Arabidopsis thaliana: one gene and its partner. The protein of the gene in region 1 interacts with the protein of each later gene in a biochemical or structural test. Each region holds a gene or a part of one and is shown in the gene's direction. Other genes may lie near its edges.

The links.
Region 2: of the proteins of HA2 (region 1) and AT5G02760, one has a biochemical effect on the other in vitro, tested with the Arabidopsis thaliana proteins (one study listed by BioGRID).

What each region holds. Positions count from the first base shown.
Region 1 is NC_003075.7:14,769,765-14,777,716, reverse strand, and holds HA2 (H[+]-ATPase 2), read left to right. Parts: upstream 1-1,658; 5' UTR 1,659-1,796; coding exon 1,797-1,838; intron 1,839-2,851; coding exon 2,852-2,971; intron 2,972-3,070; coding exon 3,071-3,307; intron 3,308-3,415; coding exon 3,416-4,177; intron 4,178-4,264; coding exon 4,265-4,387; intron 4,388-4,466; coding exon 4,467-4,571; intron 4,572-4,674; coding exon 4,675-4,819; intron 4,820-4,908; coding exon 4,909-5,411; intron 5,412-5,510; coding exon 5,511-5,543; intron 5,544-5,635; coding exon 5,636-5,717; intron 5,718-5,820; coding exon 5,821-5,981; intron 5,982-6,077; coding exon 6,078-6,251; intron 6,252-6,347; coding exon 6,348-6,712; intron 6,713-6,803; coding exon 6,804-6,897; 3' UTR 6,898-7,152; downstream 7,153-7,952. UniProt on the Arabidopsis thaliana protein: The plasma membrane H(+) ATPase of plants and fungi generates a proton gradient that drives the active transport of nutrients by H(+)-symport. The resulting external acidification and/or internal alkinization may mediate growth responses.
Region 2 is NC_003076.8:623,670-627,859, forward strand, and holds AT5G02760 (Protein phosphatase 2C family protein), read left to right. Parts: upstream 1-1,584; 5' UTR 1,585-1,707; coding exon 1,708-1,999; intron 2,000-2,074; coding exon 2,075-2,436; intron 2,437-2,593; coding exon 2,594-2,830; intron 2,831-2,926; coding exon 2,927-3,148; 3' UTR 3,149-3,455; downstream 3,456-4,190. UniProt on the Arabidopsis thaliana protein: Dephosphorylates and represses plasma membrane H(+)-ATPases (PM H(+)-ATPases, e.g. AHA1 and AHA2), thus influencing negatively plant growth and fitness. Promotes the apical hook maintenance of etiolated seedlings.

The sequences.
Region 1 (7,952 bases):
CATATATATGACATGATAAGTTTTTAAATGTGTTTGTAAGAGTCATTTAAGTCAACTAGATGATAATATATTATATCTTATATTTTAAATAATTTAGTTAAGGTTCATTTGAGCTGCAAAATTAAATACATAGTGAACTTATTTTACTAGATTACCAAAATTATATTGGTAAAGAAATATTGTGGCAAACTGTAAATAAGTGATGTCTTTTTGTATTTTATTCAAATAAATAGTATGATATATATGTAAAGTATGTTACTGTATACAATAATCTAAAACTTGTTACCCCATGATAAAAAAATGTGATAAATAAAATCATTTTGTTTACAATTTTTCTATCCATCATTTGTGAAAAGAAAAGAAAAGACAAGAAATGATTTTCGTATCTTGTACATATTCTCTTTACCTAATTTACGAGACGTTTGTTTAGACTTGAACACTTATTAATTAGGACATGAATCCTAAGAAGTTAAAACGTAGAGGAGTTGGAAATGACGAACTTTGTATTATTGGGGGACCCATCACAATCAAAAGTCAATTTCTCAGTATATCTTCAGAGGGAACAAATTTAATTAACACTATGGTTTTTATTCAATTATTAACATGTGACATCGTTCCCATTGCTGACCTTGCCATGAGGCACACCTTGGAAGGGCCAATATTTTCATTATCAACGTTAGGGCCACAAATAACTATATATATTAAAATTACTATTCTACAAATTACTACTATATAAATTAGTCCGTCGTAACTAATTACGATCCACACCAACTGATATAATGTAAAAATAGTAAGAAAAAGTAGTTTTCTTACCTGCTTAATCAAGGTATGTAGTTTTTGTTATAAGCATCTCTGTCAAAATTTCAGAGATTTAAAGTGTTTTGGCTTGGAGAAGTATTTGTATGGTTGAGAAAGAAAAAATGGAAACAAAACCGAAGTAACCCATTATTGCTTATCGAAAAAACAAATTTAGAAAAAACGAACCTAAACCAGTTGGAAAACGATTTTGTTAAGAAAATATAGTATTAGTTGAAATTTTCAGAAAGAAATATCTTTCTTTAAACAAAACCTAATAGGTGTCCAAAAAAAAAAAAAGAAAAATGAAGAAGAGGACAGGCTAAGCAGCAAGTAGTATGTTGCTTAGTCAAATATAAATTAAAAAATCCAAGCAATGTATACCTCCACCAAATATTTCTTTCTTGATATAATGATTCATGACAAAAGAAAGAAAAAAAACACCAAAGTCTATGATCTAGTAATTAAAAAAAGAGATATTACAAATTAGTTTCTCTTATAAGCTACTTCCTCCTTAGAGTCCCTTTTCAAACTACTATAAAACATCAAAATATCTCAAAATAAAAAGAAAATAAGAATTATTAACGGTAGAAAATTTTGTTGTTTAAAATGAACAATTATTCCATAATTAAAGTGTAATTAGGACCCACAAAATATATACAAATTTGATTCGGGTTCATAAGCCAAAAATATTACATTAATCAACGGTCAAAGGGTGATTAAGAACTTAAAGAGGCAGCAAAATAAATAAAAAGGGTAATAAATATAGAGAGACTACTTGGTAATGGGACCCACATAGCCAAAACGGCGGAGAAAATCGTCGTTTTTAGTGGCTTATAAAAAGAGGACTCGTATCGACTCTGCAACAGAACCACCTAATCTCTCCTCCTCTCCTTCTCTCTATTTTGCCGGAATACATATGATCGAGTGAAACGGCGGACAAAGCTGTCGTGTTGAGTACTAATTCGCCGTCGTTTTTCTCAGTGAAGGAGTGGTGAGAGATGTCGAGTCTCGAAGATATCAAGAACGAGACTGTTGATCTGGTATACCATTTTTTATCCTCTGTTTTTATTTTATGCTCACAAACTGTTCGATGATCTGCCTGAATGAGAGTAGATCTGTATCCACTTGGTGGCTTTAAAGTCTTTCCTTGGTTATTACTTACTCTCATTATGGTTTCGTTTTTTATATATACATTTTCATCGATTTAGTTTTGAATATGTGAAATTTGTTTAGAAAGACTATATTTTTGTTTCTGGGTAGTAATTAAGTCTAAGAAACGTTTGGAGGACATGAAGAGTTTGTTCATGAGAAAAAAGTAGATCTAAGCATGTGATATACTAGTAAACAAACAAGATAAAGAAAACAGAGTCTCTTTTTTCAGTGGTGGAGCTAGCTACGTCTCAATAAAGTCCAAACCTACTTGTACAATGTTTTGTCTTCTCTTTTTTTGGTTACTAGTAAGAATTTATTTGGTGGTATTTAGAAAAAATAAATATGACTTTAATCAAATCTGTTACTTAACACGAAGTTCGGATTTTTTTTTTGGTTGTACCTTTCCGTGGTACGTTTAACTTCTCTGTCTTTAGCAACCAACAAAAAAGAACACATCTTTTGTGCAGACGTAACTTCTTTTCTGTGTTTCTTGGGACAATAATTTGAATCTTTTTTATTAAAATGCTACTTTTACATAACTTTGGACTGTATTTACGCGACCAAGCCTCGATTTTTACGCCGGGAAGTGAGGGGAATCTTTCGGCGCGTGTGTTTCACGTCGCCATCACGTTGGTCGGTGGTGGCGGTCCCCACTTCACCACCGCTATTTCCCCCCCGCCAAAAATATTTCATTGTCACCGAACTAGTCAACGACTTTTTTCCAACTATTGTACTTATGAAACAGAGTAGATTTATCTACGGTTACAAAATCATCAAAGTTTTCTGTTTTACTTAAGAAAAGGTTTCTCCTTTTTAAGGTTTAGAAACTTGTTTTGTGTATGTGAAAGTTTGAGTTGTTTGGATTTGGTCATCTGATCGAATTTGCTTTTGATTTTTTCAGGAAAAAATTCCGATTGAGGAAGTTTTCCAGCAGCTAAAATGTTCAAGGGAAGGATTGACAACGCAGGAAGGGGAGGACAGGATTCAGATCTTTGGCCCCAACAAGCTCGAAGAGAAAAAGGTCTGATTTTGCATTTGTAGCTCTCAGATAAAATACATAGTTGGTCTCCTTTTTTTTTGTTACTGAGTGTTTGGTGATTTGTGCAATGAAAATTGACAGGAAAGCAAACTTCTGAAGTTTTTGGGGTTTATGTGGAATCCACTTTCATGGGTCATGGAAATGGCTGCAATCATGGCCATTGCTTTGGCCAACGGTGATGGTAGGCCTCCGGATTGGCAGGATTTTGTTGGTATTATCTGTCTGTTGGTTATCAACTCTACCATCAGTTTTATCGAAGAAAACAATGCTGGTAATGCTGCTGCTGCTCTTATGGCTGGTCTTGCTCCTAAAACCAAGGTATATATATGATAAGAGAATGAATGGTGTGAATTTGTTATACAGAACTTTCTGAATTTTCCCTAGAGCTAATGTTTTGGTTCTTGTTGTGATGTTTCTCTGTTTCAGGTTCTTAGGGATGGAAAGTGGAGTGAACAAGAAGCTGCTATTCTTGTCCCAGGAGATATTGTTAGCATTAAATTAGGAGACATTATCCCAGCTGATGCCCGTCTACTTGAAGGTGATCCTTTAAAGGTTGACCAATCTGCTCTAACTGGAGAGTCCCTTCCTGTAACCAAGCACCCGGGTCAAGAAGTTTTCTCTGGTTCAACCTGCAAACAAGGAGAAATCGAGGCGGTTGTTATTGCCACTGGGGTTCATACCTTCTTCGGTAAAGCTGCTCACCTTGTGGACAGCACTAACCAAGTTGGACATTTCCAGAAGGTTCTTACAGCCATTGGGAACTTCTGTATCTGTTCCATTGCTATCGGTATGGTGATTGAGATCATCGTCATGTATCCGATCCAACGCCGAAAGTACAGAGATGGAATTGACAACCTTTTGGTCCTCTTGATCGGTGGTATCCCCATTGCTATGCCTACAGTCTTGTCCGTGACCATGGCTATTGGGTCTCACAGGTTGTCTCAGCAAGGTGCCATCACCAAGCGTATGACTGCCATTGAAGAGATGGCAGGAATGGATGTCCTGTGCAGTGACAAAACCGGGACACTAACCCTCAACAAATTGAGTGTGGACAAAAACTTGGTCGAGGTTTTCTGCAAGGGTGTGGAGAAAGATCAAGTCCTATTATTTGCAGCTATGGCTTCCAGGGTTGAGAACCAGGATGCCATTGATGCAGCCATGGTTGGGATGCTTGCTGATCCAAAGGAGGTATAACCCTTTTTGGTTCACATGTTATTTGTAGTTTTACTGAGCGTCCAAGAAACATGTTCTGATGTTTGATTGGGATTTTCACAGGCTAGAGCTGGAATCAGGGAAGTTCACTTCCTTCCATTCAACCCTGTGGATAAGAGAACTGCTTTGACTTACATTGACGGCAGTGGTAACTGGCACAGAGTCAGTAAAGGTGCTCCTGAGCAGGTGATGGATCTTAATTTTACAAGCTAATCCTTTTTTTTTCTTACCTTTCTTTTTTATACTGATTTGATTCTCCCAACAGATCCTCGAACTTGCCAAAGCCAGCAATGATCTTAGCAAGAAGGTGCTCTCCATTATTGACAAGTATGCTGAGCGTGGTCTTAGGTCGTTGGCTGTTGCTCGCCAGGTACTTATTCGCCATTAATACTGATAGTTCCAGTCCCTTTTTGCTTTTCTTTTCTCAGTGGTAACAAATGTTCAACTGTTTGTCTTCTTATTCCCTTTTGTAGGTGGTGCCAGAGAAAACAAAGGAAAGCCCAGGTGCGCCATGGGAATTTGTTGGCTTGTTGCCACTTTTTGATCCCCCAAGACATGACAGTGCTGAAACAATTCGACGGGCTTTGAATCTTGGTGTTAACGTCAAGATGATCACTGGTAAATTTGTCTACCCATCTATCTTGTTGTGCTAGCTATACACCTTCACAAGTTCCCCCTAACATTCTCTTGAACACATATGTGGCCAGGTGACCAACTTGCTATTGGTAAGGAAACTGGTCGCAGACTTGGAATGGGAACAAACATGTATCCATCTTCGGCTCTTCTTGGTACACACAAAGACGCAAACCTCGCATCCATTCCTGTTGAGGAGTTGATTGAAAAGGCTGATGGATTTGCCGGAGTCTTCCCAGGTTATAATCTGCTTATTTATTGTTTGGATTATAAACCTCACTATATGTTCATTGCAAAGGTGGTGATGTTAGTTCTAAGCTTTGTTTTTTTTATTGCAGAGCACAAATACGAAATTGTGAAAAAGTTGCAGGAGAGGAAGCATATTGTTGGAATGACTGGTGATGGTGTCAATGATGCCCCTGCTCTAAAGAAAGCTGATATCGGTATTGCTGTTGCTGATGCTACAGATGCTGCTCGTGGTGCTTCAGATATCGTGCTCACTGAGCCTGGACTCAGCGTTATTATCAGTGCTGTTCTCACCAGCAGAGCTATTTTCCAGAGAATGAAGAACTATACTGTGCGTCTTCTCCTATTTTTCATCCTTAATTTATTCCAACCACTTGCTTGCTTGCAATTGAAACTAATTACTCTGTTCTATTTTTCTCTCTTGTTACAGATCTATGCAGTCTCAATCACCATCCGTATTGTGGTATGCAAATAAATCCGTTTGAGTTCTGGCCCTTGTTGGTTTTATCTTGGATTAATAGTATGCTGATCATATTGCGTTGAAACTTTTTGCAGTTTGGTTTCATGCTTATTGCTTTGATATGGGAATTTGACTTCTCAGCCTTCATGGTTCTGATCATTGCCATTCTTAACGACGGTGAGCAATGGCTGTCCTTTTGTATAAACCTCAAAATTTGTTTACTTTTTCTACAATGTTTACTTATATCTTTTGGTATTGTGTTGCTATCTTGATCTTATAGGTACCATCATGACAATCTCAAAGGACAGAGTTAAGCCATCTCCCACACCTGATAGCTGGAAACTTAAAGAAATTTTTGCTACTGGAGTCGTTCTAGGAGGCTACCAGGCCATCATGACTGTTATTTTCTTCTGGGCGGCGCACAAGACTGACTTTTTCTCGGTACATACAATTGAGCTAATTAATTTCTCTTTTACAGAAGTTTTTTCTTAGGTTCTTGTTCAGAGTTGTAAAGTAAATTTCACATTGGATTCACAGGACACATTCGGTGTGAGGTCCATTAGGGACAATAACCACGAGCTAATGGGTGCGGTGTACTTACAAGTTAGTATCATTAGTCAAGCTCTGATCTTCGTCACAAGATCAAGGAGTTGGTCTTTTGTTGAACGTCCTGGAGCATTGCTGATGATTGCTTTCCTCATTGCACAACTGGTAAGTTCATCAAATCAACATTTTAAGGGAATTCTTGTTTGGTAAAAAGGTTCTCAAAGAAGCACCCGTTAAATCCATTCATTCTTCCAAATGCAGATTGCTACTTTGATTGCGGTTTACGCCAACTGGGAATTTGCAAAGATTAGGGGTATTGGATGGGGATGGGCTGGTGTGATCTGGCTATACAGTATTGTCACATACTTCCCATTGGACGTTTTCAAGTTTGCCATTCGATACATCTTGAGCGGAAAGGCGTGGCTCAACTTGTTTGAGAACAAGACGGCTTTCACGATGAAGAAAGATTACGGAAAAGAAGAGAGAGAGGCTCAATGGGCACTTGCTCAAAGGACACTTCACGGTTTACAGCCAAAAGAAGCTGTTAACATCTTCCCTGAGAAAGGAAGTTACAGAGAATTGTCTGAGATCGCTGAGCAAGCTAAGAGAAGAGCTGAGATCGCTAGGTAATAAATCCGATCACACACGATTCTTTTTAATCTAAGTGTATTTTTTTGTTGGAATTAAACACTAATTGAATTGTTATATGTTAAACAGGCTTAGGGAGCTGCACACACTCAAGGGACATGTGGAATCAGTCGTGAAGCTAAAGGGCTTGGACATTGAAACTCCCAGTCACTACACTGTGTAGTAAAACCAAACATATGACTGATCTTCGATCCTCTCATGTTTTGTCTTCTTCTTCTTCTTTTTTTCTTCACCACCTCTTATGATTATTATTCACATAGGGAGAGATCTTTGTTTATTGCCATAACTCTTCCCAAACCTTATTGTTAGTGTTCTTGTTTCTCAAATATGTACTTTTGCATAATTTGCTCTTTTGAAGAAACAAGGCATGCCTTTGTGTTTGGCATTTGGCACATGCACATTCTCTTCTTTGCTCTTATTCCATGAGCCTATGTAATCTTAATCTTCTTCTTTTTCGTAATCCAACTTTTCTTCCGGCTTCTTTACTTTTATATATAGTACCTAAATGTTATTTATACCTAGGGACAACAAACAATTTGCTTATTTAAATCAAATTTTGTTTGTTGTAAAGAAGGGAAATAACCATAATTTTTTCTTTTTTTTTTTCACTGAAACCAAATCAATTAAATAACACTATCCTTTAAAAATGCCATTAAAAACATGACATGAGACAAGTTGTGTGGAAGTAGTACGGCTAGAATCTTAAGAGAAATAGAGAGATTTGGATGCGTGCGAGTGACTGTGAGACACGTGCAAAGATATGGATGATGACTTCAAATCAATGTTATGACTTTCATAGTTTACACATATGTCATCCAACTTTCCTCCTTTTTAGATATTTACAATTTCGGCGTTTTGTTTTTCATATTCATCGAATTTTTTGGAAAGTAATTCTAGTCCAGTAGTCCTAATTTTTGTTTACATTTTAATGGTGCACCTGTAGTTACTGCAGCTGGAACATATTGGTGATCTCTACTAATGTGTAGCTTTTATTTAATTGAAGATTTGTTACATCTGATTTTTTGTAGTCGAAAGTTCATATGTTTTCGCTAAAGGAGAAAAAAAACTTGCAGGAATATAAATATATACACAAACACAAAGTTTGTCAGGTTAAAATGATTAGAATATTAAAGTTTGGAGATTTGCTCATAACATTAAAATAATAAATTCAGGAAAAAAAGACAACATAAGAGTTTTATTTTAGGCAGCACATCGTCT
Region 2 (4,190 bases), on another chromosome or scaffold:
TTAGATCTATATATTGCATCAAACTTTTTACCAAATTATGCGTCAAGTCACACCAATTGATGAGGTTGGCCTTATCGAACTAGTGGAACCGTCATATGCGAAACCAAATATAAGAAATGAATGAAAGACCTTTCAACAAAATTAATAAGCAAGTAGAAGTAAATCCAATATCAATATAACAATTGGTTAAACCTAAATTATATGCATCCAATACGAAAATTCTTTTTTTGGTATCTTTTAATCCGTTTATTATATTTGTGGAGCCTAAGTTGCGGATCCACTTGTATTCCTTATTTGAATCATTGTTATCATTTCTCATTGTTTGTGACTCGTGAGCTAGAAGAAACAAAAACAAAAGGATAACGTAATTTTGATATTTAAAGTAAACCACTATAAATCATTGTGTGTGTGTTTTTTCTTGTTTTAAAAGATCGAATTAGGGAGCCTAACATGTTTTTGTCTCAAGAGATTATTATCATTAAAAAAAACAAGTGGAAGTGGAAGTTGTGTAACCCACTTGTTGAATTCTTAACTTCGAAGCACAACAAAAAGATAGACGAAAAACGAAAACTCGATCTAACTTCGACATATGCATTAGATAACATATAGAAATTTAAACAATCTCGTTGATGAAATTGGTCTATCAACACACGACAGTGGTTCTCTCTACAGTAGCATCAAATCGGTGGATCCTTATGAACAGAAAAAACGAGGAGGGACAGAGGAAGGCCAATGAGGGGTCATGCAAAATGGAACTTAGCAAAAGTACCAAAAAGATCCATCCTCTTTGAAAATTCATTTCAGCCCCATAATTATCCATGACATGAATTTCGATCTGAATCTCACAACAAGTAAGAGATCAGCTTTTGATAACATTAAAGAAAAAGGTAAAAAAAAGAAAGACGAGAGACTGAGAAAAGGGCAAAGACCTGTAGGGGTTAAGACAGCTAAGAGTGTTCCTCAGTCGCCCCACAAATGTCTTCTCTCCTCTCTCTTCAGTCTTTCTCAGCTCTCAAATCTTTAAATGGTTCCAAGTTCAATGCTCCCAAAACCCACGCCCACACATGCATCCTATGACCTTTCCTTTTCTATCCATTTTCTTCCCACAAATTACCACTTTGCAAACAAAAGCCAAAAACTCATTTACAAGATGAGTTAATAAAGACACTAACACACAACCAATGTGAAAACAGACGTTTACATGAGATATTGTTACCTCTAAGAAGTCATTAATCATATAATGAGAACATTCTTGCTTCCTAAGTTTTTACAAGATTATTAACCTCTAAGAAAGGAGAGACACTTTTAACGCAATAATAACTACATGATGTTATAAATATAGGAGAGAGTAGAAAAGAATATGACAGCCCTACTAAGACAGAGAATCATCATCGAACAGTAAAGAGGAGAATCTCTGAATATCCACTTTAAACTACTGCCCTCTTGTCTTAACTCTCAGAACCATTTAATTTTTCAGTTATTTTGACCCATACCCTTTTTGGCCTCTTTCCCTGCTTTCCAACACCTTCACACTTACTCTAGGGCTTCCACGGCTATATATATATGGTCCCTTCCTTAAACTTGTATCTCATAATTCACAACCAGCACTGCTACTACTAGTTTATCATTATTCCATCAATTTATTCTATATAGAGTTCTTCTCTGTTTATATTACGATATTGCTCGAAGATTACATACCTGAGAAAGATGGTTAAACCCTGTTGGAGAATAGGTGCCGGTATGGAGAGAAGTAAGATCAATCCCACAAAGGTTGATGGTTTGACATGGTACAAAGATCTTGGTCTTCACACCTTTGGAGAGTTTTCCATGGCAATGATCCAAGCCAACAGTGTGATGGAGGATCAGTGCCAGATCGAATCAGGGCCGCTTACATTCAACAATCCGACAGTTCAAGGCACATTTGTTGGAGTTTACGATGGCCATGGAGGTCCAGAGGCTTCCAGATTCATTGCAGACAACATCTTCCCCAAGTTAAAGAGTAAGACACCGACTTTTTTTATTTCCTTTATTGTTGAATCTGCCAGGCACACTAACACTGGTCTCACATGAACAGAGTTTGCGTCCGAGGGTAGGGAGATTTCAGAGCAGGTGATCAGCAAAGCATTTGCCGAGACAGACAAAGATTTTCTCAAGACAGTGACGAAGCAATGGCCTACGAACCCACAGATGGCATCAGTGGGGTCATGTTGCTTGGCAGGAGTGATATGCAACGGATTGGTGTATATTGCAAACACGGGAGATTCCAGAGCTGTGTTGGGCAGATCTGAGAGAGGTGGAGTGAGAGCTGTTCAGTTATCTGTAGAGCACAATGCCAATCTTGAGTCTGCGAGGCAAGAGCTATGGTCATTGCATCCTAATGACCCCACCATTCTTGTGATGAAGCACCGCTTGTGGCGTGTGAAAGGCGTTATCCAGGTAAACATTCATACATGATAACGCATCTGATAACCTGCACAGAGTTTTGCTTCATCAGTTTCTATGAAATACAAAAGCTTAAGAAAATCATATATTGAAGCCTATCTTGTGTAAGGATGTAAAACTGACTAGCAAATGTGTTATGACCTTTAACCAGGTCACAAGATCCATAGGTGATGCATACCTCAAAAGAGCAGAGTTCAACAGAGAACCTTTGCTGCCCAAATTCAGACTACCAGAACATTTCACTAAGCCAATCCTTAGTGCGGATCCATCAGTCACCATTACGCGGCTTAGCCCACAAGATGAGTTTATAATTCTTGCTTCAGATGGGCTTTGGGAGCATCTTAGCAACCAGGAAGCTGTTGATATTGTGCATAATTCCCCTCGACAAGTAAGTTCAATGCCTAACCCATATACAAATACGTTACATACTAGCACAATGCACACCAAGAACTATTCGTTAATACTAATACCTTCACAATCACAGGGAATAGCAAGGAGACTACTTAAAGCTGCATTGAAGGAAGCAGCAAAGAAAAGAGAGATGAGATACTCAGACCTAACAGAGATCCATCCTGGTGTAAGAAGGCATTTCCACGACGATATAACCGTTATTGTGGTCTATCTCAACCCCCACCCGGTCAAAACCAATTCTTGGGCTTCACCTCTGTCAATTAGAGGGGGATACCCGATGCATTCAACATCATGAACAGATCTTACGGCAAAAACACTTCCTGTGTCAAGGGCAATAAATTGGAGCCAGGGTCAAGAAAAGAACTAGTAGTATAGCTAGAAACAATATTAAGTTATGAGATCTTTGATATGTTCTCCACAAGAAAACATGAATTCTCATGTACCCCTGTATGCAAAATTATACACGAGGGTACTTGCATGCAATATCATCAATGTCAACGCTGGTAAAATTCGAAAGCGTTGCAACATATTGGAGTTTAGGCACAAAACAGTAGATAGCCAAGAAATGTGTTGAAACTTAACATTACATTCCCTTTATAAAAGTTTTCTGGCGCTTCATTCAAAATTAACAGAAAGCAAGTATCAACAAAAGTTTATCTAAAATCTATTACAGAAACAAAGAAACTGTGTAGCATCAGAAGCCAGCAAAAACGCAGTCCCACGAACAGAGAATTTAGAATCTGAGGCTCTCTTTCCTTCAACTGCCATAGAGACCAGAGATATGGAAACCAACAAGTACATCTATAGTTCTAATGATGTCTTACATGACAAAGAAATTCTGAAGTAGCGGCTTGAGAGGTCATATGAAATTAAGTAACCTAAGAACGACACATGTTTATGGGATCCATTTTGCATGCAATATTCGCAATCAAGCACAGAACACCAGTAGACCAGCTAAATTTCGTAACCAAGACTAAGAAAAACTAGCAAAATAGGCACAACTCAAAAGTAATCAACACTTCTAATTTCTAACTAGTTCAAAACAGTAAAAAAATGTCTCCCTTACTTAAATATTTGCTGCATGCAGTACAAATTTTCAATTGCTGGTGCTTGTGCTTGATACGAACATGCAATACTAAAAGGACCATCCACATTCCAATATATTAAAACGAAATAAAGTTATTAATCAAACTATACTTACCACTCCAAGAACCTGCAACATGGAAAACATCAATACCAGCCACTTCAGAATTCCTAGGTCCTAAACACATTGATAATTGTCATTTCAGACAATCAGAACTATAGGTTACTTATTGGTTTCTCAAGATCTCATCTGG